Linked DNA regions of Mus musculus: regions 1, 3 and 4 are each reported to be linked to region 2. Evidence: microRNA targets listed by miRTarBase, many of them from high-throughput screens and not tested one by one. Region 2 holds a microRNA gene; each other region holds the end of a gene's coding sequence.

Region 1 (7,110 bases), not on the chromosome of region 2:
GAACAGGGCTTCCTTCCTACCCAGCAGAGCTTGCTGTAAGCGTCATCTCCTAGAAGAGGCTTTTCCAGGCCCATCCCATCTTCCTTCTGTTTCTCCATCCTAGTCTTCCATCCCCTCTCACTGTATGATCTCTGAGAGGTTTATTGTCTCTGTCTCCTTGAAGATACTCAAAACCATAGGGTTCTTCACTTGGTTGTGTCTCCGAGCCTTGCAGGATGCCAGGTCTGTGGCAGGCCCAACTGTGACTTCAGTGAGTGACTGTTTGGCTGCCAGCTACATGAATTGCACAGTTGCTGGCTCCCTATCTTGTGTCCTGTGATCTGGCTGGGGCCCAGATAAACACATACAAAAAGACAGGACTCAGTCTGGAAGAGAAGCTGGCTTTTCCTGTGACCCTGTAGATGGTTCTCAAACCCCACGGATATCATTACCTTTTGGACTGATGTTTTAACACTTGGGCACCACTTGCACCTTCTGGGTTCTGTGTAGGAGTGAGGTTGAGGTTGTGGGAGGGTGTCTCAAGCTATCATAAAAGCAGAGCCCCAGAGGCAGCACCTCTGAGTTACTGAGAGCCTTGTCCCGGATGCTGGCAGGGTCCCTCTCATGTTTGGTGGAAGGCCAGACATACAGATTGAAACAATATAGTATACTGAGTTAGCTAGTGCCAGGGACCAACCGGAGCAGGGAAGCCATTAATTGTTTGGTGAATAGACAATTAGGAAATTAGGGCTTTGAAATATGTGTAGGAGTTTACCAGTTTTGTTTGTTTTGTTTTGTTTTAAGGAAGTGAGAGAGCTAAGAAGACATGTTGTAGTTCTTACTAAGTTTGAGTTTTGGGGTGTGGGAGGTAGTAGGAAGTAGACTCCTATTTGTTACGGGTAGGTTCGGGTGGGCCCCGGGGGCAGTGGGAGCACTAGAGACTTTGGAGTAGGCAGGATCAGAGCCATGAATAGTTGTTCTGGGTTTGCTGAGGGAGAGGAGTGGGGGTGGGGGGGTGCACACGTGGTAGGGACTTTCCTGCCTCTTCCCACACCAGGTGACTGATATCTGGGTCACCTTCATTTCCTCCATCCAGGTGAGGGAGGATTGGAAATACGTTGCCATGGTGATCGACCGCCTGTTCCTCTGGATCTTTGTCTTTGTCTGTGTCTTTGGGACCATTGGCATGTTCCTGCAGCCTCTCTTCCAGAACTACACTGCCACGACCTTCCTTCACTCTGACCACTCAGCTCCCAGCTCCAAGTGAGGTCTCTCATTTGCAGCTACTCATCCCGTGACCCCTGGGGTTCAGTAGTATTGGGTGGAAGATGGATTGATCCCCACTCCACTGAAGTCTGCTTCACACCTCCATTCGCACAGAGGCCTCCAGCCTGGAGGCTGGACCAGCTGCCTCATGTTCAAGCATTCTCCCTCCCCTCTGAGCTGATTCAGGCAGTAGTGTTAACGGTGGGGGCCAAGGCTGGTAAGTAGAGGCCAGAGATCTCAGAGCCACCTATCTGATGAGGGTGCTAGAGAAGGGGCCAAGAAAGGGACAGTTATCTATGGCTTCCGAGTCATGGGAGAAGAGAAGGTAGGATGAGGAGTTCAGATTCTGTAGCCAGGCTGACAATGGTGTCTCCTGAGATAAAAGGTGCAGGGTATGGCTAGTAATTGGCTTAGGTGGACAACACTGGTCTGGGAAGACTTGCAGTTTTAGGGAGTCCTCTTGAGAGCTCCTACAATTCTCCTGGGATGCTTCATCCACAGCCTGTGCCTCAGAGGGCTCCAGAACCCAGCCCCAGCTTCTGCCAGTGCAGAATTCTCTGTATCTCTAGATTTTTCTCTTTCCTTTCTCACTTGGGAAAGGTGAGGTGTTGGGCGAACCTTTGAAGGTCATGAGCTAGGTGAGAAGTCTAGGCTCACAGTTTTAGAAGAACATTTACAGTGCTGGCCTTCATTGGGAGCCATGTTACAGATTCAGAACAAGCCTAGAAGGTGGGTCCCTTCTTCCTTGCCCCAAGGCCACGGACTGCTTAAAGGACATAAGTGACAGACATCTAAACTGTGCCTCAGTGTCAGATGAACTCATGGGCATCTCTGTTTGGTGACTGGAGAGACAGACCTCCTACTAGAACAGGAAATTAAAGGTTGCCGGTGTAAGACCCCTCTCCAACCCCCATAAACTTCCAGACCCAGAGAAAGCACCCTGAAGTCATAAGCAGCACCTGGCTAGGTACTGTCCCTCTGGAGGGTAGCACCAGTGTTGGTTTTCCAGCCTCTGTGAGACCCCACCAGCTACAGCTAGGACCACTCTTGACTTTACTACCTCCTGTAACTGTCTGATGTCCAAATTAGTCACCAGCCAGGACTGGAAAGATCAGTGAACAGTTTGTCCAGCTCCTTTCCGTATCCTGTTGAACATATCAGGCAAACAGCGCCCATCTTAGAACCTGCTCCCAGCATTTACACTGTGGGAATAAAGGTAGGCAGGGCTGTGCTGGGTGAAAGGGACCCTGGCGTGTGGAGGATCATGGGAGCAGTGCTGTTCTTGCCATTTTTAGTGCAGCCTTTGGAGGAAGACTGCAGTGGGGGAGGGGTGGTAGGAGGCTATCATGTGTCAGGATGGTTTGAACCCTAAAGGACATTGGGAGGTTTTGGGGAAACTCAGTCCCTACCACTTTGGGGCCTTCTGTCTCTATCCGTGCCTCCTCCTCCGTGGAGCTGTCTCTAGTGAGAATCAGGTACCTGATTTGGTGAACCTGGATGGGAACCTGGGACAGGGTGGCATGGGAGTGGCAGTGATGAAAGGTGTTGGGGACTCGAATCAGGGACTAAGCTCCAGTAACCTGGCAGCCGCCTTTGCCTAGGCAGATGGCCCACAGGCCCCCTGCCTCTGTGGAGACCTGCAAGTCTGGAGCAGCTAGTGCCAAGGGTGTGGAAAGCTGAGAACAAACAGGACACAGGACCCTCCAGAAGGCTCGTTTTGGGGAAAATTGAAGGGGAAGGACAGGACTTTCTTGTAAGAAACAAGGACAATGGTGGACCGGCCACTGTGCCTATGCTATGGGATCCCATCTCTTACAGCCCTGCAGGGAAGCTCTTGAGACCAGGGGCAGCAGCAGAGCGAGCATGACTTCCCATGGGACCTGCTCCTTGCCTGTCCCCATGGCCTTTGGGCAGGCGGGAGACTTCCTAGGGAGGAAAGCAAAGCCCTTTATAAAGAGCCTTCTCTGAATTGTTCCCCAAGAAGAGTGACAGGTCTTCCTGTTATCACCTTCTGCTTTCTGCTTCTAGGCAGAAGGGACTGTTGAGCCCCACATGCACTGACCAGCTTCCCACTCACCAACTGGTCAGAGCCAAGTGTCACTTTGTAGTAATTATCCCATCATGTCTGAGAAGTCTGTCAGTGTGCTGGTCACTTGCTTTCCAAAGGACCTGATCACTTTGGGAACTGGTAGGACACCTCACCCACCCACTGCACTGTCCTAGGTACGTCCTTGTCTTCATTCCTGGAATATTTTCCATGTCCCCCCCCCACCCCACCCCCGCCACAAACTTACTCCCCCATAGCTGGACTTATTTCTCTTAAAATTGTTTCCAAATATGTTGAGTTACTTTGTTCTGTTTGGGGTAAGGGGACTAACCCTTCCGGATCAGATTGGTAGATATAGAAGGGGAGGATGCTGGAGAATCTCCACTCAAGAGAGGGTAAAGCAAAAGTCAGCAAGGGTGAAGGGCAGTGTGTACTGCCCAGTCAGTGGTATCTGCTCCCTTTGTTAGATGCAAAAGAAATGGCCAGGTGGCTAGACCCAGAAGGGACCTCTGGGGAAGACCCTCTATAAGGAACCACCAGGGGTGGTGTGGGTTTGGGCTTCCTCTCCAGTCTGGGTTCTAAAATATCCAGGCTTCAGTGAGCTGGCAGACCCCCACTGCACAGGCTGTGCTCAGATCCTGGGATCAGAGTGAATCTGTGGGTGAGCCCTTGGGGCCTTCAGCTAGGCTTTAAGGAAACCATCTATCTTTAAATTTGAGGGCCAGGGATCAACGGAATCCACTTGTACGTGATGCCAATTTATCCTGAGCAACACTTCTAGCCCACAAAGCTGGATACACCCTCAGAAACTGGAATACTCCATTCCTCGAATTTGGACCCAGTGGCTGCTGGAGGACAGAGCCACTGAGACTTTAGGACAGCAGGAGTTGTCACCTCGAACTGCCTTTAAAACTGCTCAGCTCAGTTAAACAGGGAGTGACTACCACATGAAGCCCTGGACTTAAGTGCTGTGCCCCAAAACATGTCACTGGGTCTTCTGACCTCAGCTGACCCATCTGTCTAAAGGATTATGAGAGAGTTCACACTCAGTGTCTTTGGGTATGTTGTCACTGTTGAAAGGTCAAAGATAGGTCTTCCAGGAGTTCTGAAGTAAGTTACTAAGAGCTGGGTTTCCTTAAAATTTAAGAGGGGGACTTTCGATGCCATCCACAAAGTTAAAAGGTGCATCTGAATGTGTCGTGGTCCCAGCTGCAACTGCCTTCCAAAGGGCACGTACAGGACAGTAAAGGCCGAGGCTTGTGGGGAGAGCAACACCAGCAAGACTGGCAGGAGCAGAGATTTCTGCTGTCTCCAGTGCTGTTTTCTCATTTGGGGCTTTGAAATCTACTAAGCCCCACAACCCCCAAACTAGGAACAAAAGATGACAGAGTGGGCTCAGGTGGGAAAAGTTTTGAAGCAGGGAAAGTGCTGAGGACATAGCCGAGTCCCCAACTGGCTGGCACATCACACTGCCTGAACTACAGTCAGACTGTAGAAGCAGTGGGGCCCTTGAAACTACTGTGGCTGTGGCCAGAGATCCTGTCACAGGTCCCTGTTCCCAATCTCACCTCCCCCAAGAACCAAGATATAAAACTTTGTAACAGTCCTGATGCTTCAGTGTTTTTATTTTTAGGAATGTATACTGTCACTTGTAAAGGGACAGAGGGAGGGACTGCATCCATCACAGCGCCAAGGCTATGCCTGGGTGCTTCCCCACTCTGCTCTTGGAGTCACTGCTAAAACCCCAAGGCCAACAAAGTCCCTTCAACTTGAGTACAGGAAATAGTTTCAAGCATTGACAATTCTTACACATGATTATTCAAGGAATGCAAGACAGCCACGGTTCAGACAAATCAACTACAGAAAGTATTAAGAGACGGTGTGGAGGGAGGCCCTGCTTCTTAAAGTAAACGTGAAGGAAGCACAGTGGGAGGAGGCTCTGCCCTCGGCCAGCGGGACTGGAGGCAGGGTCAGGGTGGGATGCGGGGGTCAAGTCCACAGAACTCAGGGACACCTTGCTCTCTTCCATCTGCAGAAACCCAGAACCACTCGTTGTCTAGACAGGATTGGGGTATGTGTGAATACCCAGGGAGGACCAGAGGGACCAAAGGAATCAAAGGGAGAGACATCTCTGTCCTTTAGACCCCAGGGGAAGAGCTCCCTGTCCAGGCCTGGAAACCACAAGGGCTCTGCTTCAGATGCAGTTGCCGGAGGGTGACACGCCTCCAGCCGACACCACAAGCATGGTGCTGCTTTCTCACTTCCACAGACGCTGGAGTTTCATAGGATGATTTGGCTGTGCAAAGACATCCCCAGTGTATTGTGAAGACACAGGTTCTTGTGTTGGCCAGATCTGTTCATAGATTGAGGAGGCAGTAGCCATTAGACTTGAAGTACGAATGTGATGTTTGCTGTTGGCAGTGGGCCAGAGGGTGGGGGAACCAGGCAGCTCTGAGGGTTAAGCAAGGGGGTGCAGGAAACTGTTGAACACACTGGCCAGCTGTCTCCAGATGGAGCCACACCATTCAGAGGAAAGAGGTGGGCTTGGTCCTAGAGGGGCAGAATGGAGCAGGGTCTGGCTGGTTGATCTGATGCTAGAACCAGATTCTACAGAGGCTCCCACATACCCACAAGTCACTGTCAGAGGGGGAGGAGTCAAAGAAGCCCATCCCAGAGTGGGAGGCCAGCCTGCCCTGCCACCTACAACACTTGTATGTAAATGAAGATCCTCAAAGGAGCAGGGCAGAGATTCCAGGGCCCTGTGCCCTGTCCGTGACCCAGCTTCTGAAGCCATCTGATAGAATGAAAGTACATTTACTAATGGAGAAGTAATATTTGCATCTCCAGTCTTTGATGCAGTTCAGAATCAATGCCTCTGGCCTTTTAGAAACATTAATTCTATGCAGGGCTTTGTCACTTCTGCTGAGACCAGAAGAATCCCAGTGCACCGGCAGGATGCTCTGCCTTTACCTTTGCCGTCTGGGCAAAGCTGCTCTGCCCACTATGCTCACCCTCTGCTTTTCACAAACAGCTGGGGCCTGGGGCCAACACCACACGTGCCCAGGGCCAGCTTCTGGGAGTGCTCATGGAGGGGCAGATGGAGGCATAGCGACATTCCATGGAATGCTGGTGCACTCTAGTTAGTGCTTGTGGACCCCTACTGGGACGTGCTTGGTTTGGGTACCTTCCTCGGTCCCACTGGCCGATTCTCAACTTCCCTGCTGCCCAGGAAGGGAAGTTCCTTGGTGGGCCAGCACGGCCTGTTACTGGGTAGGGCTTGCCTGTCCCAACCACAGTTTACCACATTCCTGTTGTTCGACAATCCCTGACCACGGTTGTCAACTCCTGCCCTTGTAAACATTTCACCAATCCTTTATGTTCACCTCTATCCTCTGGGGTGGGGAAGGAGAAACCTCATCACAGGAAGGCATCCTAGGAGGGAAGGATGACAGAGCAGGGGCCTGCCTGCGCATCTGCAGGTGACATCACTGGCCCCTGACATCATTTACAGAGAACTGATGGGATGGAATCAAACCCACAAGAGGCCAGTGCAGCAAAGGAAAAGGAGATGAAAAAAACCTCCGCAAAACGAAGCCCGAGGGGCCTGGGCTCCATGTGACCAAGAACTGTCTGTGCTACATATGGAATGGTAGCATTTCCATTTCCTTTAATCTTGGCCTCTTCCCTTGAGAAAAGGGAGGTGGGGACTTGGCTGGACCCCACCTTGAAATCCCAAAGAAAGCAGTTCTTGGTACCATCTATTATGGTTCTACCATTAAAAAAGGGGGGAGTGGGTAAAAAAAGCTCCTATCCTCTGG
Region 2 (7,116 bases):
GCTGCGTGGCTCTATTCCTTGACGCCACTGTGGACTCAACACACATTCATCGAGCACCCTTTGAACACCGTGAGTTGGGTAGAGTACTGGGGAAACACAGTAGCAGGATTGCCATCACAGTCTCTCACCCTAGATTATGAAAAAGCAGAGACAGGAAGATCATGAGTTCAAGGCTATTCAGGGTATAAGTAGCATGACATCCTCAAAAAAATAAATAAAAGATAAGCCAGGCACGGGGTGGGATGTGGTCACATCTTTAACCCCAGCACTCTAGAGGCAAAGCAGAAGCAGGTGGGTCTCTTGAGTTTCAGACAAGCTTAGTCTATATAGTGTTATCCTGTTTCCAAAAAAAAAAAAAAAAAACAAAAACAAAATAAAAGCTGGAAGTATGACTTATCAATAAAAACCCTGCCTTGAATCTACATGTTTTCATCTTAAATTCTTCCTGGTATTTTTTCCCTGTAGTTGGGTTTGGGTCATGGGTTGAGCCCACACGTAGAAACCCCAGTAAAGGATGGGGGCCAGGTTCAGTGGTGGAGTCTCCTAGAATCACCCAGTGAGGAGTTGAGGGCATGGTCAGGGGTGGAGCCCCACTTAGAGTCCCCCAGAAGAGATCTGTAAACATTCTGTTTGAGAGTATCAGCCTTTCCTAAATAGTGTGGCCGTTGCAGGAGGCTGAGAATGTTAACAAAGTCTTGTCCTAATTGACCAGTGAGGTAACAGGAAGTTTCTCCCACCGAGCTGAAGCCTGGAGAAGGCAGAGTTGGTTATGGGAGGTTATGTGAGTGGACTGTGCAGACCCAAGAGAGGAAACTGCATGGACAAAGCAGCCCCTGGGCTGCTGTGTGACTGAGTTTGATGTCAGCTTTACACGGGTGGAGCTTAAGGGAAGCAGGAACCTCAATTGAGAAAAGGCCTTTATCAGGTATTTTCATGATTAATGATTTAAGGCCATTGTGGGTGGTGCCATCCTTGGACTGGTGGTCCCAGATTCTATAAGAAAGAAGACTGAGCAAGCCAGGGGAAGCAAGTAAGCAACCAGTAAGCAACACCCCTCTATGGCCTCTGCATCAGCTCCTGCCTCCCGGTTCCAGCCCTGACTTCCCTCAGTGATGGAGTGTGGCCATCATTGTAAGCTGAATAAACTCTTTCCTGCCCTTTTCTTGAGTCAAGGTCCTGTCACAGCACCAGGATGCACACTAGGACAGCTGGGGAGAATTGCACAGTGGGGGATGGTTAGTGACTGCATTAGAATGTCACAGATGATAGGTGTTGAATGTTAAGAATGCCATGACCCACCAGACAACAAGTCCACATTTTCTTGGTATCAGTCATGCAACTAGTGGTTGCTTTGTGTGGCGGGCACAGAGTTTTATTGAAAATTGGGCTGGGGCTCCATGGGTACCGTACCCAGTCAAAGCATTTGAAATTCTGAATCCAACACCGTGTATGCTAGGCATGGTTCTCAGGGACTGGAGGCAAGAGAACTCAGTGTTCAAAGCCATCCTGGGCTACATTCAGAGTTAGAGAAAAGCCTGGACTACAGGTGACACTGTCTCAAAGCAGGCAAAGTGAAAAGAGTGAGGAAAAGAAAACAAGAAAGAGAAAAGAATTTCAGGGTTTTCTAGAAGTACCTTTGATGCCAATCCCTCTTTTAAAAGTTTTATGGCCGGGCAGTGGTGGCGCATGCCTTTAATCCCAGCACTTGGGAGACAGAGGCAGGGAGATTTCTGAGTTCGAGGCCAGCCTGGTCTACAGAGCAACAGCCAGGTCTATACAGAGAAACCCTGTCTCAAAAAACCAAAAAAAAAAAAAGTTTTATGTATGCACATGCTTTTAATTCAAACACTCAGGAGGCAGAGGCAGGTGGATCTCTGAATTTGAGGGTAACCTGGTCTACAGAGTAAGTTCTAAGACAGCCAGGTTTATATACAGAAACCCTCTCTTTTTTTTTTTTTTTTAAATGTAATTCTTTTTTTTTTTTTTAAAGATTTATTTATTTATTATATGTAAGTACACTGTAGCTGTCTTCAGACACCAGAAGAGGGAGTCAGATCTCATTACAGATGGTTGTGAGCCACCATGTGGTTGCTGGGATTTGAACTCTGGACCTTCGGAAGAGCAGTCGGGTGCTCTTACCCACTGAGCCATCTCACCAGCCCCAGAAACCCTCTCTTAAAAAAAAAAAAAAGAAAAATTTTTATGTGTGTTTATTTATTTGTGTGTGGAAGCATGTGTGTCACAGGACATGTATGGTCAGAGGACAACTTGCAGGAGTTGGTTTTATCCTTCTACCCAGTTGATCCTGGGGCTCAAGCTTGGGTTCCCTAATTTCAAAGCACTCTTTCCCTCTGAGTTACTCCACTGGCTCACCATTCCCTATTTGAGTCTCCAGAGAAAGCACGGTGCTGTGACCCAGGGCCCTGAGGTTGTGTCTCTGATCCTATCATGTAGATGTGTTTGAGTGACAGGCCAATAGCATGGGAAACACTCCTGCACTCTCCCAGGGCCCGAGACCTTGCTAGACACCCTCTCCTGTCCGTGCTAGACTTCCCTTAACCCCCTCCTGTCCCAGTTTCCTGCCCCTACCTGTTTGTGTATTTCAGGAGAAAGGTGATAGGAGTCCACGCTATGAGGCTGGCTGTGACTTGTTGTCATATCATATCAGAACAACAAAATCACAAGTCTTCCACATAGCACTGGCTCACGTACTCCGCTCCTCGTCCTCATCCTCCTCCGCCAGGTTCAACACCCTCAAGTGCTTCTCTCTCTCTCTCCATAGAGGATTGAGCATAACAAACCCCACTCACTGACTTACCCTCCCTAGACATCCCTTTTCCATTCCATCCCCTGAGACACAGGCAAGATTCATTCTCTACCTGCCCCCCAACTCACACCCTGGCACATCACCAACGTGGGATTTATTGTTCCAGGCACGAGGAGCACACACTTGTCACCCCAGCACGCAGGGAGTAGAGGCAGGAGGATGAGAACTTCAAGATCATCTTTGGCTACACAAGGAGTTCAAAGCTTGGTCTACAGTGTTTTAAAATAATAATAATTATATATATAATTGAGAGAAAAACTCTTTTTAAAAATAAAAAGAACTTGAGATTTAAAGTTGGATTGAGGCTGGCTTTCCCCTCACCACTTCACTTTGGAAATTAGTACACCCAGAGGCACTCATAACATCTCGTTGACCAAATGCTTCGCCTGTACTCTGTGAGTTTGAAGCCAGCCTAGTCTACATAGTGAGTTTCAGAACAGCTAGAGGTACACACAAAAAAACCCTGTTTCAAAAAAGAAAAAAAAAATCCCTCCGTAAAGGACAAATGCCAAGAACCATTAAGAGGTTCCTTCCCTGTACACTCTCCGCCAGAACAGACCCCAAGGCGATCCCTGAAGCTGGGTGTTGAGAGCTTGGCACTGCCAGGGGCCGGGTGCTGAAGCCTAGTCTCTTCGTGACCCGCTGGGAGCTGTCCGAAATCCTGGTGCTGAAGCCGAACTCTGCTCCGAGTCCCTCAGCCGGATGGCGCTGTCCGCGTCTCCAGTGCTGAAACATAATTAGTTATTGGGGGAGGGGGTGGTCAGTGCGGCTCGAGGACACTCTCCCAGCTTCTGCCTTCTGCCAAAATGCCCCGCTCCTTGTTTCTGTTCTTCGTCCTAGGGACCCATCTTCTGTTTTAATCTCTTCCCATGGACCCGGGGTGTTCTAGGCGGGGACGAAGGCGCAAGGCTCTCACCTGCTCCCACATCTCAGGGAGACAGCCCTGGGTTCTCTGCCCTTCCTAAACAGTCCAGTTGGCCTTCTGGAAGATGTGCCAACTTGCATTGTACCCAGAGTCCCCGCTTCCCTCCCTCAGCGCACCTTTTCCTCCTTCCTTCGTGCCTTACCTTCTCCTGCTCACCAGCAGCTGCAGGTGTCTCGGTGGCTGTCCAGTTTCCGACGTTTCACCTTTATGCGCTTAAGGGGAAGGCGGAGCGCTGGAAACCCTGGGTGGGGCTTAGCCAGTGAACCAATAGGAATCGTCTTGGAATGAAGCTCCAAGGATTACCTCATAGGTTGAGGCCTCGGCTTCAGAATAAAAGTCAGGCATCCGTCCAAAAACTTCTTTAGGGGTCTCCAGAAGGTGTCAGGGTGTAGTCCTGTGGCCTGTTAAGTTTCCACGAGAGGATCATCTAAAACCTGATCACTGAGTAGCCAGAGGATTAGCGATCATCAAGCGTGTGCCTGCTGGGACAGAGAAGCTGAAAAAAAATGTTTGAAGAAATTGAGGGATTTTGAAAATAAAGTCCAATTCTACACAGGGAAGATGAAGTGTGCGGGAATGAGACTCACAGAAGCGTAGGATAGAGGCGGAGCTCTGGCGATTTTTGTTTTGTTTTGAGTTAGGGTCTTGATTTGTAGTCCATGATGACCTCAAACTTATGATTCTCCTGCCTCAGGCTCCCATCAGGAGTTTGCCTCCACACTAGATTGATGCAGTGCTGGGAATGGAACTTAGTGCTTTCTGATTGCTGGGCCAGCGCTCTGTCCCTGAGCCCTAGTCACAGTTTCCCCCCTCTAACACAGTCTCTCTCACTTTTGTGATCCTCTTGCCTCAGCCTTCTCAGCACTGGGAAGGCTGGTGTGTGGCACATCACACACCTTCATTTACATAGCTTCCTTTGTAGCACCAAAGGGACAGACAGTCAGGGAGGACACACACTCAGGCTTGTAAATCTCCTACCAGCTCCTCAGGCTGCGGAGCTGGCAAGCCAGGTTCATTCTATACACCCTAGGGGCATGGGAGGAGGGGCTGCAGGGAACCTGGGATGAGACCCTGGAAAGCCACCTGCAAGATCTAAGCTCTGATCAGTTGTCCCTTTCCCTTCTAGCAGTCTCTTGGGTAAAACTTGCATGCCCCACGCCCTTTGTTTTTCTCTCTTATTTCTTCCCATTCTTTCAATTTGGATATGAACCCAGAGCCTTGCAGTCCCTCAAAGAGCTAAGTCATCTCCCTGAAATTATAAGATTTATTTATTTATTTATTTATTTATTTATTTATTTATTTATTTATTTATTTATGTGCACATGCACAGTACATGCATAGAAGTCAGCAGAGAGCTTGTGGGTCCTGCAGCCCACATTTAATTTAATTCATTTTAAACCTTTGGAGAATTCTTGTTCTTTTTATTGTTTGTTTGCTTGCTTGCTTGCTTGTTTGCTTTTTGAGACAGGGCTTCATTGTGTAGCCCTGGCTGTCCTGGAACTCACTGTGTAAACCAGGCTGGCTTCAAACTCAGAAAGATCAACCTGTCTCTGCCTCCTGAGTGCTGGGATTAAAGGTTGGCATCACCACTGCCACGCTGGAGAATCGTTTGGGGCTACGGGAAGCTGTTTGGCAGGTTTCTTCTCTCACATTTGTGAGGTCCTGTGTTCCATGTCCGCACATACAAATCAATAGAAAGTGAAACGGTGTGTGAAAGCCCACCCTCATGCATGTGCACACACGCGCCATGGTGCTTATCTGGAGCTCTGTGAAAGCCTTGCACGAGTAGGTTTTCTTCTTCTGCCACATGTGTCCCAGGGATAGAACTCAGGCCACCCCACAGCAAGTGCCTTCACCCTCCAGCTCCATTGCCCCCACACATCTCTCAGGATTGAATCACAATCATTTTGTGGATGGATTTTGTCCATCAGATATTTCCTAGTTCAAGGACTCAGAGTCCTTGAACTACGCCACTGTTTGGACATCATGAAGAAAATGTCCAGGAACTTACACATGTGCTTCCTCATGTGTGCTATTTTCACTGCCATGCCTGGTTTCTGATGGGTGCTGGGATGAAATTCAGTCCTTCACACTTGCGTGGCAAACACTTCAGTTACCTCTCCAGCAGTGTATTTTAATTCTTTGACATAGGGGCTTTGCTCTGTAGCTGAGGTTGCTCTCATATTTGAAATCCTCTGCCCCAGCTTTCTAAGAGTTGGGATCACAGGTGTAGGCTGCCATTTCCAGCTCCAACTGGCCTCAAGTCCCTCAGGTCTGTCTCCCTTGTTGATGCGCTCTGCTCCTATCCTGGAAAACTGTGTGAAGGTTCATGATTCCCACTTTCTCCCTCTGGTGACACCTCAATGTGTCCTGTGTCATGAAAACTACGGGTGTGGGCAGGCACCGATGAATGAAAGTTTTGTGTGTTTGTTTTGCTTTTGATTTTTTTTTGTTTGTTGTGTTTTTGTTTTTGTTTTTTACAGATCTTGCCTGAGTTTGTGAGAGCAGCATAGGACACTGATCATCTGCAAATAGTGTGTGGGGAGGTGTGTCACAGCAGTCTGTCTGTCTTCACACTGGCAGGAGCCTTTTCTATGGGGCCTTCACAGGGGCCTGGGCACCTTTGGGGGCCTGAGCACCTTTGGAAGCCTGGGTTGGAGCTGAAGCCTGGGCCTTATCTGGAGCTTTGGCCCCTGCCTTGGTTTGGACCTTAGGCTTCAGTTGGCAGAGCCTCTGACCCTTGGCCATGTAGCTTCGAATTTACTTCCCAATCTTAGGGTGAGCGATGAAAGCCAGCCGCTTGAGTTTGGGGCCTTTTGGCATCTTGGGCTTGATGGCCTCTGCGCGCGCACTCACTGCCTTTGCATTATTGGCCTGCATCTTCTTCAGGCCTTTCTTGTTGTGCTTCTTGGCAAGGCGCATGTTCCTCAGGAACTTCGGGTCAACCCCCTTAAGAGGTTCGTATCTTTGCGACAGGGGTTTCTTGATGCCATTTCTGTGCCATTTTCGGGACTGGTTGTGTGTGGTGTGGTTCTTGGACTTGGCCATGTCTGCACGGTAACCCACGGCTCCCACACCGCCTGGGACCAGAAGAGAAAGAGCTGCTTTTGTTTTCTTTTTAAGACAGGGTTTGTCTTCGTAGCCCTGGCTGTCCTGGAACTTGCTCTGTAGACCAGGCTGACCTCAAACTCAGAAATCTGTCTACCTCTCTCTGCCTCTGAAGTGCCAGGATTAAAGGCATGTGCCATCACTGCCCAGCATGAATGAAGGGTTTTTTGTTTGTGTGTTTGTTTTGTTTTTTGTTTTGTTTTTCGAGACAGGGTTTCTCTGTGTAGCCTTGCCTGTCCTGGAACTCACTTTGTAG
Region 3 (7,116 bases), not on the chromosome of region 2:
TGCCCCCTCACCCTCCGGCTGCCTCCCCACACGCCTGACCTGTGTCTGCAGAGGAGACAGAGGCAGCTTCTTCCTCAAGCACTTTGGTATAAAGGTCCCTGAAGTCAGCTGGGGAGGAGAAACAAGGACAGTGTAAGATTGCTAGATGAACACACCTCTCCTCCATCCGCATTCAAGGAGCGATCGCTTCTGCCTACAACTAAATGCTATGGTGTAGGAAGATGGGTTCTTTAATGCTGTCCCTCACTGCTTTTGCCTCCCCAGCTCTGCTTAGGGTCCCCACATGGGAGTTCGGGCCACTTCCTGTGTGGCTGTGAACTATTTCGCTTTATCTCTTAGTAACTCAGAGACTTGTGGTTGATCTGTTGCTATAACGGAGTGGTTTTGTAGCCTAGGCTTAGGTGCTGTGGAGATGGTTTCAAAAACTAAGTCCTCCCACCTGGTTAGCCGTGAAGCCTCTGTCCCTGGGAGGTGGGCATTCAGAAAGGACACTGCGGGGGAGTAACTTCACCTCCTCGGCCTTAGGAATCTCACAGGGACCCAGTCCTAGTGGATTATCCTTCCCCAAACTAGGCTCACCGATGTCGCTGGAGGTGGTAATGCCAGGGTCGCTGTGAGACCTGGGCAGCAGCAGTGGTGGAGGAGGTGTCCGGTGAGGAGGTCGGTGTCCGGGTGGGGTGAGGGAACCTGAGCTATCACTGAAGCGTCGAGCTGGTGCTCGGGCAGGAGGGGGTGCAGCTGAGCGGCTGCCTCCTCGGGGGACCCGCCGCCTCAGCTCGGGGAAACAAGGTCCCACCCAGGGCGGCCAGCCTTCTAACCGGTGGCAACTGCGAGCAGCTGTGGGGGCACCCAGTGGGGGTGGGGCTTCAGGGGCTGAGCAGGAATAGGAGCGGGCAGCCCGTGGGGGTCGCCTTGGCAAGGGACTGTCTTCAAAGGGACCCCGGAGGCCGCAGTCCAGGCTAAGGCAGTAGCCTGCGCGGCTGCGCTGGATGGAGCGGAAGAGCACATAATCGACGGAGCGCACAGAGCCCTGGAGTTCCAGCAGGCATGAGTCTTCTGATGGGCTAGAGCCCCCGGGGAGGTCGCCAATGGCAGACAACACCAGGGACCCACTGTCCATGGACACTGTGGGTGGCAAGGGAGGGCGAGGTGGGATTTCATCAGGGCAGCTGCTTTTGCCCATTCTGACTCCAGCTTTTATCCTCAAGGAGACAGACAGGCCCAGGGTTCTAAAGTAGCTTCGTTACTCCAAACCTTCAGATTAACTTGGCTGGCCTTGTTTCCCCTCCTTCCGGCCCCACCCCGCCCTTGTCCACTCTGGCCCATTTTGCTCACCGTCCACAATGGAGGCCACCCGCTCACAGACACAGGAGCCATCGTGAAGCTGAGGGTCAAACAGAGTGGCCTGTAGAAGACACAGGATGGAAAGTCCGGCCTGTCACACTGGCATGGCCACTCCCATGTACTGGCAAAAGCTCTGGCGACCAGAGATTCCAGAGCAGCTTTGTCACTCTGTATGAGTTCGTTGCTTTTTGTTTGATTGCTTTTTGTTCTCTTTGTTGAAGAGGGGGTTTACTGCGTAGCTTAAGCTAGCCTTTCAACTCCTAACTTTGCTGCCTCCACTTCCCAAGTGCTGTGATTGTAGGCATATGCCACTCCACCTGGCTTTCTATAAGTCGCTTAAGGGGGCATCAGTTTCCATATCTTTATTTTTTATTTATTTTTTGAGAAGGTCCCTGAAGCCCTGGTTGGCCTAGAACTCTCTATGTAGACCAGGTTGCCCATGGTCTTTCTGCTTCTGCCTCTCCAGGGCTGGGATTACAGGAGTGAACCATCATGCCCCAGCTACACATCTTTTTTTTTTTTTTTTTTAAAGATTTATTTATTATATGTAAGTACACTGTAGCTGTCTTCAGGCACACCAGAAGAGGGTGTCAGATCTCATTACAGGTGAGCCACCATGTGGTTGCTGGGATTTGAACTCAGGACCTTTGGAAGAGCAGTCAGTGCTCTTACCCACTGAGCCATCTCGCCAGCCCCCAACTACACATCTTTAAAAGAGAAATATTAGCCGGGTATGGTGGCGCACACCTTTAATCCCCGCAGGCAGGCGGATTTCTGAGTTCGAGGCCAGCCTGGTCTACAGAGTGAGTTCCAGGACAGCCAGGGCTACACAAAGAAACCCTGTCTCAAAAAACAACAACAACAACAAAAAAGAGAAATACTAGTTCATCTCCCACCCACCTCAGCAGCTCTAGGGCAGATCAAAGATGCCAGCAGGCTGGTATCCTTGCAAGCAGCCGTCTTGGCTCCATGCACTGCTCCCAGCTACACCAAGCTCTTTCCTCACCTGGCTGTCTCTTCGCAGCCCCATGACGGCCTCGTAAGAAGGGGGGCAGTCAGTAGGATACAAGGGCACTGGGCTATCCATGGAGCCATTATACGTGATGCTGGCAGGATGAGGGAGAGGATCAGGGTCTGGAAACTAACTCCTACTCCACAGCTATGCCTCCCAGCAATCCAGTCCCTCCCCCCAGCAGCCCCTTGCTCCCCCACCCCCACCTCCAGCCTTACCTTTGTGCATCTGTCTCTGAACTGCAGGTGTACTCTGGAGGGTAGTAGGGTGGTGGGGGCACAGGCGGGACAAATTCCTCCAAGTCCAGCATGGTGTGTAGGAGAGGAGCTGGAGGCGAGGATGTACACGCCAGGGGCCCTAGGGGGCCTGAGACTGACCGTTCAGGGGCAAGCTGCTAGAGAGCAAGCCTGGTTTCAAATTTCTTCCCTTTCTGCTATTTTTATGGCCCTACTTCCACCAAGAAGATCCAGTTCCACCCTTCCTCAGCCACACCCAGCTTCTTCATCCTGCCTCACGCTGAACCTCCAGCTCTGGCTTTGTCCACCCATATATCTCTCCTTTTCTAGCTTCACATCTATCCATAATTGTCACCTGTTCCCTGTCACCATACAACTACCCATCCTTTATCCCCTCCTCATCCTAGGACCTTCCAGATTCCACCCCATCCAGTCTTCCTCACTCTCCCTTCAGCACTCAACATCCCCGAAATAAATATCCTCAGGTCACCTGTAGCTATGCCTGGCAGGCCCAGGCCCAGCACACACACACACACATACACACAAACCCAGCTCCCACCACCCCTGTCTGCTTGGGCCTTGGCTCCCTTCTTACCATATGCACCAGATCCAGGGAGAAGATCTGGACACAGCAGACAATAGCAGAGAGGGTACAGATTATTGCAGCACAAATGGTAAGGCCACAGACACTGAAGAGCAGGTTCTGGAGAAGATAAAGGAGAAGAGTAAGGGGCCCGGGACAGAAAAACCTTACACACTTGAGCCTTTGAAAACTCCAGGAGGGGAGCAAAGGAGACCCAAAATAAGAGTGTAGGGGGAAGGGCTGGGGAGGGCTTCTTCACCTTGAGGGCCCCTCTGGCTTCATCACAGGTGGAGTTGAGGGCAACTTTCAGCTCCTGGCCCCATTCTGGGCAAGGTCTGTGTAGGGGGATAGGTGGGCAGCATACACAGACCTTCCCTTCCTGTGTGGGAGTGCAAAGGGCAAGGCAGCCCGGGTCAGAGCAAACTCACGGCTTCCTCCCATCTCTCCTAACCCCTTCCTTCCAGGTTTCCCTCCTCAAATCTCACCATGGAGCACTCTCGGAAGTCCCGAGCCAGCTGAGCATTCTTACAGGAGAGAACAGAGCCAGCCATGCTAAGCATGACACAGAGCACCGAAAGCAAGGAGAAGAAAGAGATCTGAGGGAAAGAAGGTGGCATCTCAGGGCTGGGACCTTCAGCAGCATCCCTCTTCCACAGAATGAGCCACCCTCTTCTCAGACAGCTTCTGCTAGCCTTATACCAACTGGAAAGCTCCTGGGAGGCATAACGGGGGGGGGGGGGGTAAATCCCCTTCGCTGCTGGGCACCTGCTTCCTAGTGGGCATCGGGCCTTGGCACCTACCACTAGAGTGAATGGCCGCTTCCAGGACACAATGCCAACCAACCCGGAGAACGCCAGCTAGGGACAGAGTGGGCACAGGCTCAGCTTGGCAGGGGAAGCACCTAAGTGAGCCCCTTGCCACAGGATGCACCCAGCCCTGCAAGGAGGGAGAGGACTGGGAGAAGAAGGAAAGACAACCATGTGGGCTTGCAGGTGAGGAGGGATGGGGCCTAAGAAGCTTCCCCCACCCCAGTACTATATACTCTTTGGACCCCACTCACCGAGAACCCAGCCCAAGATGGGCAGGACCTCTTGATGCTCTCGGTGGTGGTGACAGAGGAGGCCACCATGCTGAAGGTTATCACCAGGATGCCCAAGAGCACCTGGGCCAGCCCCAACGTGAGCAGGGCCTGGAGCCAGGGTCGGTGGAGGCGGAGGTGGGTAAGGCCCCGGGTACTGGGCCGGCTGGTCAGCGAGCGACTGGAGTCACTGGGCGAGGGCATCATGCCTGCCGCCCAGTTGCTCGCACCTCGCTCGGTCCCCCTTGATACTTGTGAGCATCTCAGAAGCACCCAAGCCCTGGTTCTTTATCCTTTCCACAGCCCTCGCTGTAAAGCCCACCTCCTGGCTAGGTCCTCTGGGGCATCGCCCAGGGACGCCAGCTGGAAGGAGGCCCAAAGGAGGGGCGTCACGAAGGGACAGTGAGGGGCTCCCTCCCCACCACCAAACGGGTACCGTGCCCGGGGAGGCGATGAGGACGCGAGGGCACCGGTTCATTGCATTTCCTTAATGAAGAGGGGTGCCGAGAAGGGCTGATCCCAGACTGAAGAGTAGCGTTCCGGAACCCAGGCAAGGGTGGGGAGGGCAAAAGCGAGAGGGATGCAAACAAGTCTACAGAGAGGGGGAAGGTCTGCATGCAGGAACTAGAGGTGCGTTTGGCCATTCAGGGCCGCCTGGTGGGGAGAGGCCGTGGAAACTGTCTCCAGAGTCGCAGACCCGCTCCCCTCCCCACCATGCTCGGCTTCCTTAGCTCCTCCAGCTGCAGCAGGTCAGCCTGTGGAGGTGGGGGATGGTGGATGGTGCGTGGTGCGGAGGAGGGGTGTGGTGGGTGGTGCAATGCATCCCGGGAGCTGTAGTCTGAAAGCAACCCTGGGGAAGGGAGGAGATAGGGAGAGGCCCTCCTCCATCCCTAGCCTCGCCCTGAAGCCTGAGCAGTTAAGGATCATTTCTGGGTCCATTTTCTGCCCCACAGGTTCCCGGGATGAGGTGTTCACACCAAAAGGGACTGACTGCTCATTCATCATTAACAGAGGCATGGTAAACCGAGCTGGGGCTCCCCCATCTCCCGCCTATCAGCCTGCCCACTTTGCCAAGTGCAACCCTCTCCTTGCAGAGTGTTTCCACCCCAGTTCCCCACTCCATACAATGGCCCAATCTCCAGTAAAGATACAGGAAATGGGTGAGTTCCAGTTACACTTTTTTTTCTTTAATTTAAATAACGGAAGAAGACATCCTTGGCACAGCAGAAGGAAACTGGGGTTGGGGTTGTGTGAGAGGTGGCGGCAGCAGTGTGGCCAGATGGGAGATAAAAGGCAAATAATGACTGAGTCACAGCGGGCTCTCCACACCTCAAGTCAGGATTAAAGTCATGGCTGTGGAATGAAGAGCCCCATAGAAGTCACCAAGTGGTGATGGCTCCCTGAATCCCAGAGACTTCAGGGATAGGGACTATCTTGGTTCCCACAGGTGACAGGCCCAGGGCATCCCAGCGGGTGCAGCAGGGGTCAAGGGGCCCTGAAGGCATTTTCAGCAGCTCCGGCAGCTGCATTGGCAGCAGCAGTTCGAACCGCAGGGTTGGAGAAGACACCAGCAGCAAATTCTTGCTGGGCCTTCTGAAAGCTGGCACCCGTTTGGCGGTACAGGGAGTGGATCTGCAAGAGGGAAGAGATTATAAGGGAGGCAGGCCCCTCCCATCCCAGGAGGATGGCACCACTCACTAGTCTCCTGCTTTGTACCGTTCCTTCTGCGTTGGCACTCCCTCCAAACACACAAACTCACCCACCCAAGAAAGTCCATTAGTTGATAACCCACCCGCCCTGCCCCATTTCCTTAATGTTCCACTCAGCAGCCCCTAGGGACCCAATGATCTCACTCCCCAGCCCCACCTTCTCCCGACCGGCCCTCACCCGCTTCAGCATCACGATTCCCAGCACTGCGATGCCGGTGAAGAGCAGGGCGACGAGCAGCATGAGCACCGCCACGGCAGGTTTGGATCCCACCACCACCAGAGCAGTCACCCAGCCGCTGTGGGAAGATGCACGGGTGAGGACCGACCACTCTGCCGGGGCTCTGCTCACCCGGAGTCCCCTAGGTCTAAGAACATGCTCCAGGCCCATCAACGGTCAGGGCCTCGGCCAATATGGCGGCATCCCATGAACCAATCCCACTACATCTATTCTCTTCATACTTTTCAGTCATTTCTGAAGCATCCGCTCCTAGCTCTCCTGGCATCCTCATGAAAAACAGATTCGAGCCAGGCATGGTGGCCCACGGCTTTAATCCTAGCACTCGGGAGGCAGAGGCAGGCAGATTTCTGAGTTCGAGGTCAGCCAGGTCTACAAAGTAAGTTCCAGGACAGGACAGCCAGGGCTACACAGAGAAACCCTGTCTCAAAAAAACCAAGAAAAAAAAAGAGAGAGAGAGAAAGAGATCCTTCTCACTTCTGGGCACTCCCTTGATCTTTCGTCCATTGTGACATGGCCTCTCCAGGAAAATTAATTTTCAGCCTCTGCCTGTCTACTGCTGTCTTGGCTCTAGCCATAGAGTGCCCTGACTTCAGTTACATTAGTCTTTCCCAAGGAAAAGACCCACATGACCCTTAGTTGGACAACCCCATTAAACTGAGTTGCCCAATGTGTGAGGAAGGGCTGAGGACGAATGGTAGCTCACACACCTGAAGCCCCACCCTGGGATGCCAATGGCCTGGAGGACAAAGAACACATCCTGGACGAAGAAAATGAAGAAAAAAACGAAGAAATTGAATGAACTATCACTCCTGCAAAGAGAAAAAAAGCAAGTGTGGGAGAATTAGAAAATGAGGTTCAGAGCAGCTCCCATCACCTCTCACTGCATCTCACTGTAGCCCTTCTCTCATCACCTCAC
Region 4 (7,116 bases), not on the chromosome of region 2:
TGTCCAATAAATACTATTTTGTGGCAAATGCCCAGCACCTCTGGCTCTTATAATTTTCCTCTGCTGCTTGCATGTTAATCCCTGAGCCTTGCAGTCGGGAGTGTGATATAGCTCTTCTGTTTGCACTGTACATTCCTAACACTCATCAGAGCAGCTGCTTTTTACAGTAGATAGTGATTAACACAACTAACCAATGTGTTAGTCTTACTGTAACACAACTAACACTATCTTAGCCTTACTGTAAGGCATGGAAGACAGAAGTTAGCAGTCACAACTTAGAGGGATGAGAAGGATTGCTGATGTGTTAGGAGTTTTGGAGGAAAAGAAAGTAAGAAGAGGGACAAATAACTGCAGGAAGGAAGTGTCATTTGAGCCATATGGATAGGTGAGCTGGGTGCCCAGGAGACACTGGACAGTGGTATTAAAGACCCAGCCTAGTGGAGGGTGCAGTGGGAGGGCACCCCAGGGTGAGCACTTTGAATTCTAATTCCTCAGCTGTGAATATCTTGAAATGTGTCAAACTCAAACTTTCAAATAAATAGGTTGTAAATAGGCTGCCATGTTGATGGTTAGTGATATTTAGTAAACATTTAATTATATTTAAAACTTGCTTTAGAGCTCTAAACAAAGTTGATTGGTTAATCAAAGTAAATTATACTAAACACTTTTTAAAATGATACAGTCTAAACTTCATTTTCTTACATAAAATATAGGGGTTGGTTTTTTTTTCCCTTTTGTATTTTGGGTTATTGATGGAGGATCTTTTTCTCTCAAACTGCACCCAGATACAACATGATCTCCTGTTTCTGCTTCAGGGCATTGCATGACTTTAGGTGGCCCCAAGCAGCCTTAAGTAGGAACTGTCTAGTTTGAGCCATATCACTCCAGTCTGTTTATAGTTGTTGCCATTCATGTCTGTATGAGAGTGCTTTTGTGGGAGAACATCGAACACCTAGGGTTGTGTGTGGGAAAGGATAGTCACTAGTACTACTAGTCTTTAGGCCTCGGTAATTATAGATGGCTTTTATTTGGCATCACCAGTGTAAATGAGGTCTTAAAGGAAGCCGTGAATTTTGATTTTGTAGTTAGACAGTTTTACCACACAGCCCTGTTTTCTTAGCTCGTTTTCACGTGTGTACTTCATGATTTCCGTGGTCGCTGTTTTTGAATTTGAAACTGAATCCTATTTCTCTCTTCAAGGTGTTGCACAGCATTCACTACAGCTGCATCAGCATACAGTTATTATCACTATGGTCGGAAAACTGTTCAGGTGATAAAGGGCAAATGAGAAGCACCCAGATCCAGCAGCAAGGAAGCAACTTCGTCATCGGCAGCAGCGCCAGCGAAAGCTACAGGACTTTCCTGATCTTGGTGTTCAGCTTGCGAAAGGTCTTGTCAGACAAACCATGTCTTCAAAACTGAAGAAATGTACGGCGAAAATAAGCTCGATCATGGGCCTATACAGAATTTCCAGTGTATTTTTAAATACAAATAAAACTATAATGTAGAATTTTTAATCTTAGGTTTTTGATTAATTTGTGAGATGAATTATTCTTGTTTTTTTTTTTTTTTATGTTTTTTAAAAACATAGTTGGTAACATGGAAACAAAGGAAAGCAGGAGGGAATTTCCTAAGATTGGATACACACCATACACAGCATGTCTATACATTTTTATGCTTGAATTTTAAATCTATAAATACATTAACAGTTCATGTGATTAATACTTGATCATTTGAAAACTGAGAATAAACTTAGCTGTGGGTACTGTAAAGGTGTACAGAGCTTTAAAATGCAGTACATTTTGAAAACAAAAAAGAACAAATAAAACAGAAGGCATTGAAGTTCACGAGTAGTCTTCCAGCCTCTCAGGTACCAAATAGTTTATGTATCAGGATAACAGATAACGCAGGAGTCAGAGGGAGAACACATGTATTACGCTTTGCATCTTACAGGCAAAGCATGACATCATGCCTTCTCCCTGTTTGTAATGGGATGTTTGATACTGGAACCAGTGCTCATATGTCATGTAAATAGGATGAAACTTTCTATTTTTCAAAGTTTTTTTTTTTTTTTTTAACTTTGGGGAATCTTCTATTGTTAACATGATAAAAAAGAAATAAAAGAGCTGGAAAAAAATCCATGCCTTGCACTTGGGTTGTCCTGTGGTGTGTGTTGATGAGACTATATAAGTTCCCCGATCTGTGACGTGCACTTAGATGCAGCACTTCCCCCTGTGTTGTAAAACTTACTGATTCCAGACCATCTGACCATAAAGACCTGCTCTACCCGTGTGTTTAGAGAAGTGAGCTCCAGGTAGAGTCAGGAGCTGGGAGGCTCCTCCACATACTAGAGGCTCTTGGTTGCCCTCTCTCCTTAGCTTAACCTAAGAATCGTGTGGATGTAAAAGTTTGTCTGCACCTGCCCTTGCTTTGAAATAACGACAAGGAGACCTGGAATATTTATTGATAAACTTCTTGCACTACAGCTGGACAGGGTTCTGATCTATTCTAACCCTGCTATGCTGCCTACCACCCAGCCACATGCCCCATTACCTACCTTCCTAGTCTCACCCTGGCTGTTCCTCCCTATCCGTGTCCTCATGGCAACTCCCTCCTGGCCACTCAACACTCTCCACCCAGGACCCCCTCACTCAGATTGGAAGTCTAGCCTTAACTCTCCTCCCCAGCCCTAGGCTGATCAGCTCTTGAACCAATCAGAGGTAAAGGAAAACAATATCTCAATATCTTACAAAATACCGAGTCAGAACATGCTTTGTAATGATGACAATACCAAACTCTGGACTGCACCCAGATGATGTCCGGGTACAGAAATCAGCATTTGAATACACTGCACAGAAACATTCCCCAACATGCTACTATACAGTAAGCCTCTAGTCATTTTGTTGAACTGTGTTCAAATAGAAGTTAAGAGACAGAAACTCAAGCTTTATTGCATTGTGCAGCTCTGTTGCTGGTCCTGACGTCTTAGCCACTGTGGTGGTTTGGATGAGAATGCCTCCAGTCTCGGGTGTTTGAATGTTTGGTTTAGGAGAAGTGTGTCACTGGGGACAGACGTTGAGGTTTCAAGGCCACGTGCCATTCCCAGTTTGCTCTCTGCTTTTGCTTGTGAGTCAGGATTTGAACTGTCTCATCTTTTAGCTCCAACTGCCGTTCCTACCTGCTGCCAGCTTCCTACCCTCTGAAACCACAAGTAAATAACCCTTTCCTTATGTAAGTTGCTTTGGTCATGGTGTTTTGTCACAGCAGTAGAGAAGTAATGTAGCCACCCAGTCTTAGAACATACTAAACTCTACAACTGAATCACAGGGGCAAGAGAAAAGATGGGCAAGGCTGGCCATTGCCTCTGCCTCAACTCTCCCATCACAGTTTTCTAACTGAGAGCTGCTGAGGCTAGAGATGGAAGGACTGCTGGAGCATCCAGGATGGTGATTGAGAAATGTCAAAAAGGTGGCAGAGTGCTTATGGAGGAAATTAGATGTTTACTCCGTTTAATTATATTAGCTTATTGCAGTTATTGTTAACCCATAGTATCCTTAGAATGAAGGGCTTTCGACCTAGCTCTGGTCAACACACTTTTTCTGTATCTACTCTTACAGTCCAAATGCCCTCAGGATCTTCTGTATTGAATTGTTACAAAATACATCCTGTCCATTTAACATACTAGAATTTTATTTAAATGAGAATATTAGAATATACATTTATGTATACAAATTGGCAAATTTATTAAGTGTCTCCATAGAATAGACTCATTCTTGAGAGTAGGCTAGAAACACTGAGGCCATTTAATTATGTGTTAGGACTTAATACTAATTCACATTTTGGCCTTTGTAACTTTCTTTTAAATTTTTTTTTTTTATTAATCATTCCATTCGTTTACTTCTCAAATGATATCCCTCTTCCTGGTTCCTCTTCCACAAATTCCCATCCCACATCTGCCCTCTCCCCCGCTCCCCGTTGCCTCTATGAGGGTGCTCCCCCACCCACTCCCACTCCACTGCCTTTGTAAGTTTTAAAGTGGGATTTAGAGAGATCTTTCAAATTCTCCTGGGCATATATTTGATGAGAATAAGGATACAGTTTAGAATGTTGAAAACATGCTTGGATAACCCACTTAGAAATGTATAGTGTGATTCATATTCAGGTTCAGCTTTGATAAACTTGCTGTCTGCAGCATGGTGTTTGTGCTACAGCCTGTTTTGAAGATGAGAGATGAATTCAAACAACTTTTCCTTACAATAGAAATAAGCACTGTTGTGAGTTCAATTTTGCCTCCGCTCCAAATGTTTATAATCCCACCATTTGGAAAGACAGAGGCAGAAGGATCTAAGTTGAGACCAACATGGGTGAAATACAGAAAGACTTGGAAGCAAATTGCCTGTGTCTCACAAATGTTACCAGAAGGCCAGTTTTAACTGTAACTCTGGAAATACATGTTTTGACACACCCTGAAATACAAGTAAGAATCCAGAAGGCCTTAGCAAACCAACAATAGCTCTTACCTTGGCTATCAGCTCAAGGCCAACAGAACTCATTGTGCTAAAATCGGGCCACAAGGGAACGTCCATGCAAGAAACTTAGAGATGGCATTTCTAAAGGAGTTGTTCCTTCTTACAACTGCTTTGTTATCCCATCTCCTTCAGTGTAGTATCTCACTTGGTACTGAGGGATATACGGAGTACTGACCAATGTAAAGGATGTCACAGAATGACAGGAGCTAGTAAGACAGGCGTAGTGAGAACAACTATAGGAGGAAGGGTGATACACTCATTCCTTCAACAGAGGAGGACACAGTGTAGTTCTGTGTGAGCCTGAGACATGGTGGCTTCAGGGAATTTGAAGCTCATGTTGTCCTTAGGCATCAGCATGTTTCTGCATGCAGATGTATTTCAAATAGGAGACACGGGGATAATTGAAGTTCTGGAGCCTCTGCAGGTGGCCAAGGCTGGTTTGTTTAATCTGGTTGCTGGAAGGAAAATCAAGGCCTCAAATGTGTCTGATTTGGATGTTGGGGATAAACCCAAGGCCTTGTACAGGCTAGGAAGTCACTCCCACTGAGTTACTTCCTCAGCTCTGGCTGGGTTTTTGAAGGCCACCAGGTGTGTGTCGTAGAACTGCCTGTGTGGCTTCCAGCGCTGCCTCCAGAGACACACAGACAGCACCAGGGTGCTAACCAGTAACAGGCCACTGGCGGTACACAGTCCCCAGAAGATGACCACAGAGCTGGGCTTGGTTGTGAAAGTGGCACATGACCTCCTCCAGCCTGAGGTCTGTGACTGGCTCAGGCCAGCCCTGTTGGCTGCCAGTACACACACATGGTAGGTGGTGCCAGGTGTCAGCTTGTACAGGGGGTGCTGCCTGGCAGTAGCATAGATGTCCACTACGGATTGATTCCCAGATCGTCCTTCTGCCACATAGTGGATCTGATACCAGAGCACCACTGAGTTGGGGGCACACCAGTGGACGAGCACTGATGTGTCAGTCACCTCTGACACCCCCTGCAGCGTGGGAGGGTCTGGAGTGGTATCCTCCCCACTGAGACCAGGGCAACGGCATCTGAAGCGCCTCTGCAGCTCTGCGCACGGGGTCTGCAGATGCTTGCAGGGGTGGTATTCACAAGAGACGTCCTGGGGAGGTGCCGCCACCTGGTCCCGAGTCTCCTCCTCCTCGCTGTCATCATCTAACAGCAAAACTGGAATCTCATCCTGTGGAGGGTCTGTGTGGAGAGCCCTGGGCGTGGCTTGTGTCCTCTGCTTGGTCTGAGGTAAGCTCCTGGGGTTTGGTGAAGTAGGCAAGGGTTCAAGGTACTTGCTGACTAATGGGGTAGAGGCAGATGAAATATTAGGCTCAAGGATATGTGTGGCAGTCTGCTCTGCCCCAGAACTGGCAGCACCAGGCAGAGCCCTGGAAGGACTATAAACTAGCTCAGAGTTAGTGGACTGGGCAGTTTCCTCTGAAGCATCTTTATACATCCATGATCCTTGTGTGGGGGAAGTCATGGTGAGGGAAGGGACCTTGGTGATATTTTGTTGGCTTCCTCCAGGCTGAGCAGACAAGGCCGTGCTCTGTTCAATGGAAGGCCCCTGTATCCGTGGTGCAAAAACTGAATGATCGAAGCGGCCTGGGTTTGAAGGCAGGAGGGTGGTGCTTTGGTCTGACCTGCACACATTAGACAGGTGGGAGAGGGAGAGAGGGCCTGAGAAGGGGCCCGTGGATCCTAAAGCAGGCTCACACATGGTATCAGCTGCCCTGTAAGGGAAACCACTCATTAGGAGATACCTGGATTTCAAGCTTTGGAATCCTTAATGTGGGGTGTCTCCTCTGTCAACATATCTCTATCTGATATTGTCTGGTAACATCGTTTTATTGGCCCAGGAAACTTTTGAAGGAAGTCCCTTCATCCCTTCTGGGCAAAACAAGAAATAGGAAGAAGGAGCTAACTACCCAAGATGTCATAGCTAGCAAATGGCAGAGCACAGCCGTATCTACAGTAGGAAGTGGAACAAAGCCAGACTTTCTGGCTTTAGCCTGTGCTCTCAACATCTTTTTTTAACATCATGGTTAGCCCCTGGCTCTTAAGGGATTTGGCGATAACCATGGGAAACAAAGTAGGGAATGGAAGTGAGGAGCCCCACACCACAGCTGGACTTTTGAGGATGGTTGATTCCAAAATGGAGCAATTAGCTGGTGGGGATGGTCTAGGAGTGCTCACGATAAGTAATATCCCTAGATTGTTAGCACCCATCTTCTCACACCTGCTTGGGTATGGATCCCCTGGTGTATCTTAGAGAAAAGCTCTACTAAGCCAAGAGATACCTTGAGAATTGGTTTCCTGCCAGGAGAAAGCTCTGTAAGCATACTAGCCTCAGGCTGAATGGTCAAGAGCTGGGCTGCCTCTTGGGTGGTCAAAGGGCCTAGTCATTAAGAGCACAGGTGGAGATGGAGATGAATACTGCCTGCAACATCTAACAGCTACATGAGTTAAGATATCAAGTGCTTCACTTGTTTGGGCTCTATTCCTTTGTCTGTAAAATGGAAAGATGGCACAATTGTTCTTGCTTGGCCCACAGACTACATTTCCCAGCCTCCTTTGCAGTT

What was found. Region 2 holds the annotated microRNA mmu-miR-7b-5p (UGGAAGACUUGUGAUUUUGUUGUU, at 2,669-2,692, opposite strand). A microRNA usually pairs through its seed, bases 2 to 8, with sites in the 3' UTR of a target mRNA and lowers its output. Matches are read on the target gene's strand: a 7mer-m8 pairs with bases 2 to 8, a 7mer-A1 pairs with bases 2 to 7 and ends in A, and an 8mer does both.
Region 1: miRTarBase lists Chrnb2 as a target of mmu-miR-7b-5p. Seed matches in the 3' UTR shown: 7mer-m8 at 3,238-3,244 and 8mer at 4,384-4,391.
Region 3: miRTarBase lists Scamp3 as a target of mmu-miR-7b-5p. The part of its 3' UTR that is shown has no 7-base or 8-base seed match.
Region 4: the mRNA of Crls1 is a reported target of mmu-miR-7b-5p. Seed matches in the 3' UTR shown: 8mer at 1,854-1,861.

What each region holds. Positions count from the first base shown.
Region 1 is chr3:89,751,236-89,758,345 of GRCm38, reverse strand. Chrnb2 (cholinergic receptor, nicotinic, beta polypeptide 2 (neuronal)) reads left to right here. Exons shown (of 6, transcript NM_009602.4): 6 at 1,076-4,898. The coding sequence ends at 1,246. Adar (adenosine deaminase, RNA-specific) reads right to left here. Exons shown (of 15, transcript NM_001146296.1): 15 at 4,891-7,110. Among named protein-coding and RNA genes, the nearest start is that of Chrnb2, 9.8 kb to the left of the region's middle.
Region 2 is chr17:56,238,593-56,245,708 of GRCm38, reverse strand. Mir7b (microRNA 7b) reads right to left here and starts at 2,721; the gene lies at 2,611-2,721. It overlaps A230051N06Rik (RIKEN cDNA A230051N06 gene), which reads right to left and starts at 3,993. Exons shown (of 2, transcript NR_155493.1): 1 at 3,895-3,993; 2 at 2,904-3,553.
Region 3 is chr3:89,181,068-89,188,183 of GRCm38, reverse strand. Scamp3 (secretory carrier membrane protein 3) reads right to left here. Exons shown (of 9, transcript NM_011886.3): 7 at 6,908-7,009; 8 at 6,141-6,258; 9 at 5,414-5,885. The coding sequence ends at 5,739. Gm45927 (predicted gene, 45927) reads right to left here. Exons shown (of 19, transcript NM_001310017.1): 17 at 6,908-7,009; 18 at 6,141-6,258; 19 at 5,414-5,885. The coding sequence ends at 5,739. It overlaps Fam189b (family with sequence similarity 189, member B), which reads right to left and starts at 5,041. Exons shown (of 12, transcript NM_001014995.2): 1 at 4,236-5,041; 2 at 3,976-4,032; 3 at 3,661-3,771; 4 at 3,435-3,554; 5 at 3,188-3,295; 6 at 2,575-2,750; 7 at 2,351-2,450; 8 at 1,336-1,405; 9 at 580-1,125; 10 at 40-108. The coding sequence starts at 4,460. Gm16069 (a long non-coding RNA gene) reads left to right here and starts at 3,757. Exons shown (of 3, transcript XR_003954659.1): 1 at 3,757-4,167; 2 at 5,207-6,276.
Region 4 is chr2:132,864,637-132,871,752 of GRCm38, forward strand. It overlaps Crls1 (cardiolipin synthase 1), which reads left to right. Exons shown (of 7, transcript NM_001024385.1): 7 at 1,201-2,137. The coding sequence ends at 1,288. It overlaps Lrrn4 (leucine rich repeat neuronal 4), which reads right to left. Exons shown (of 5, transcript NM_177303.4): 5 at 3,880-6,267. The coding sequence ends at 5,064. Among named protein-coding and RNA genes, the nearest start is that of Lrrn4, 13 kb to the right of the region's middle.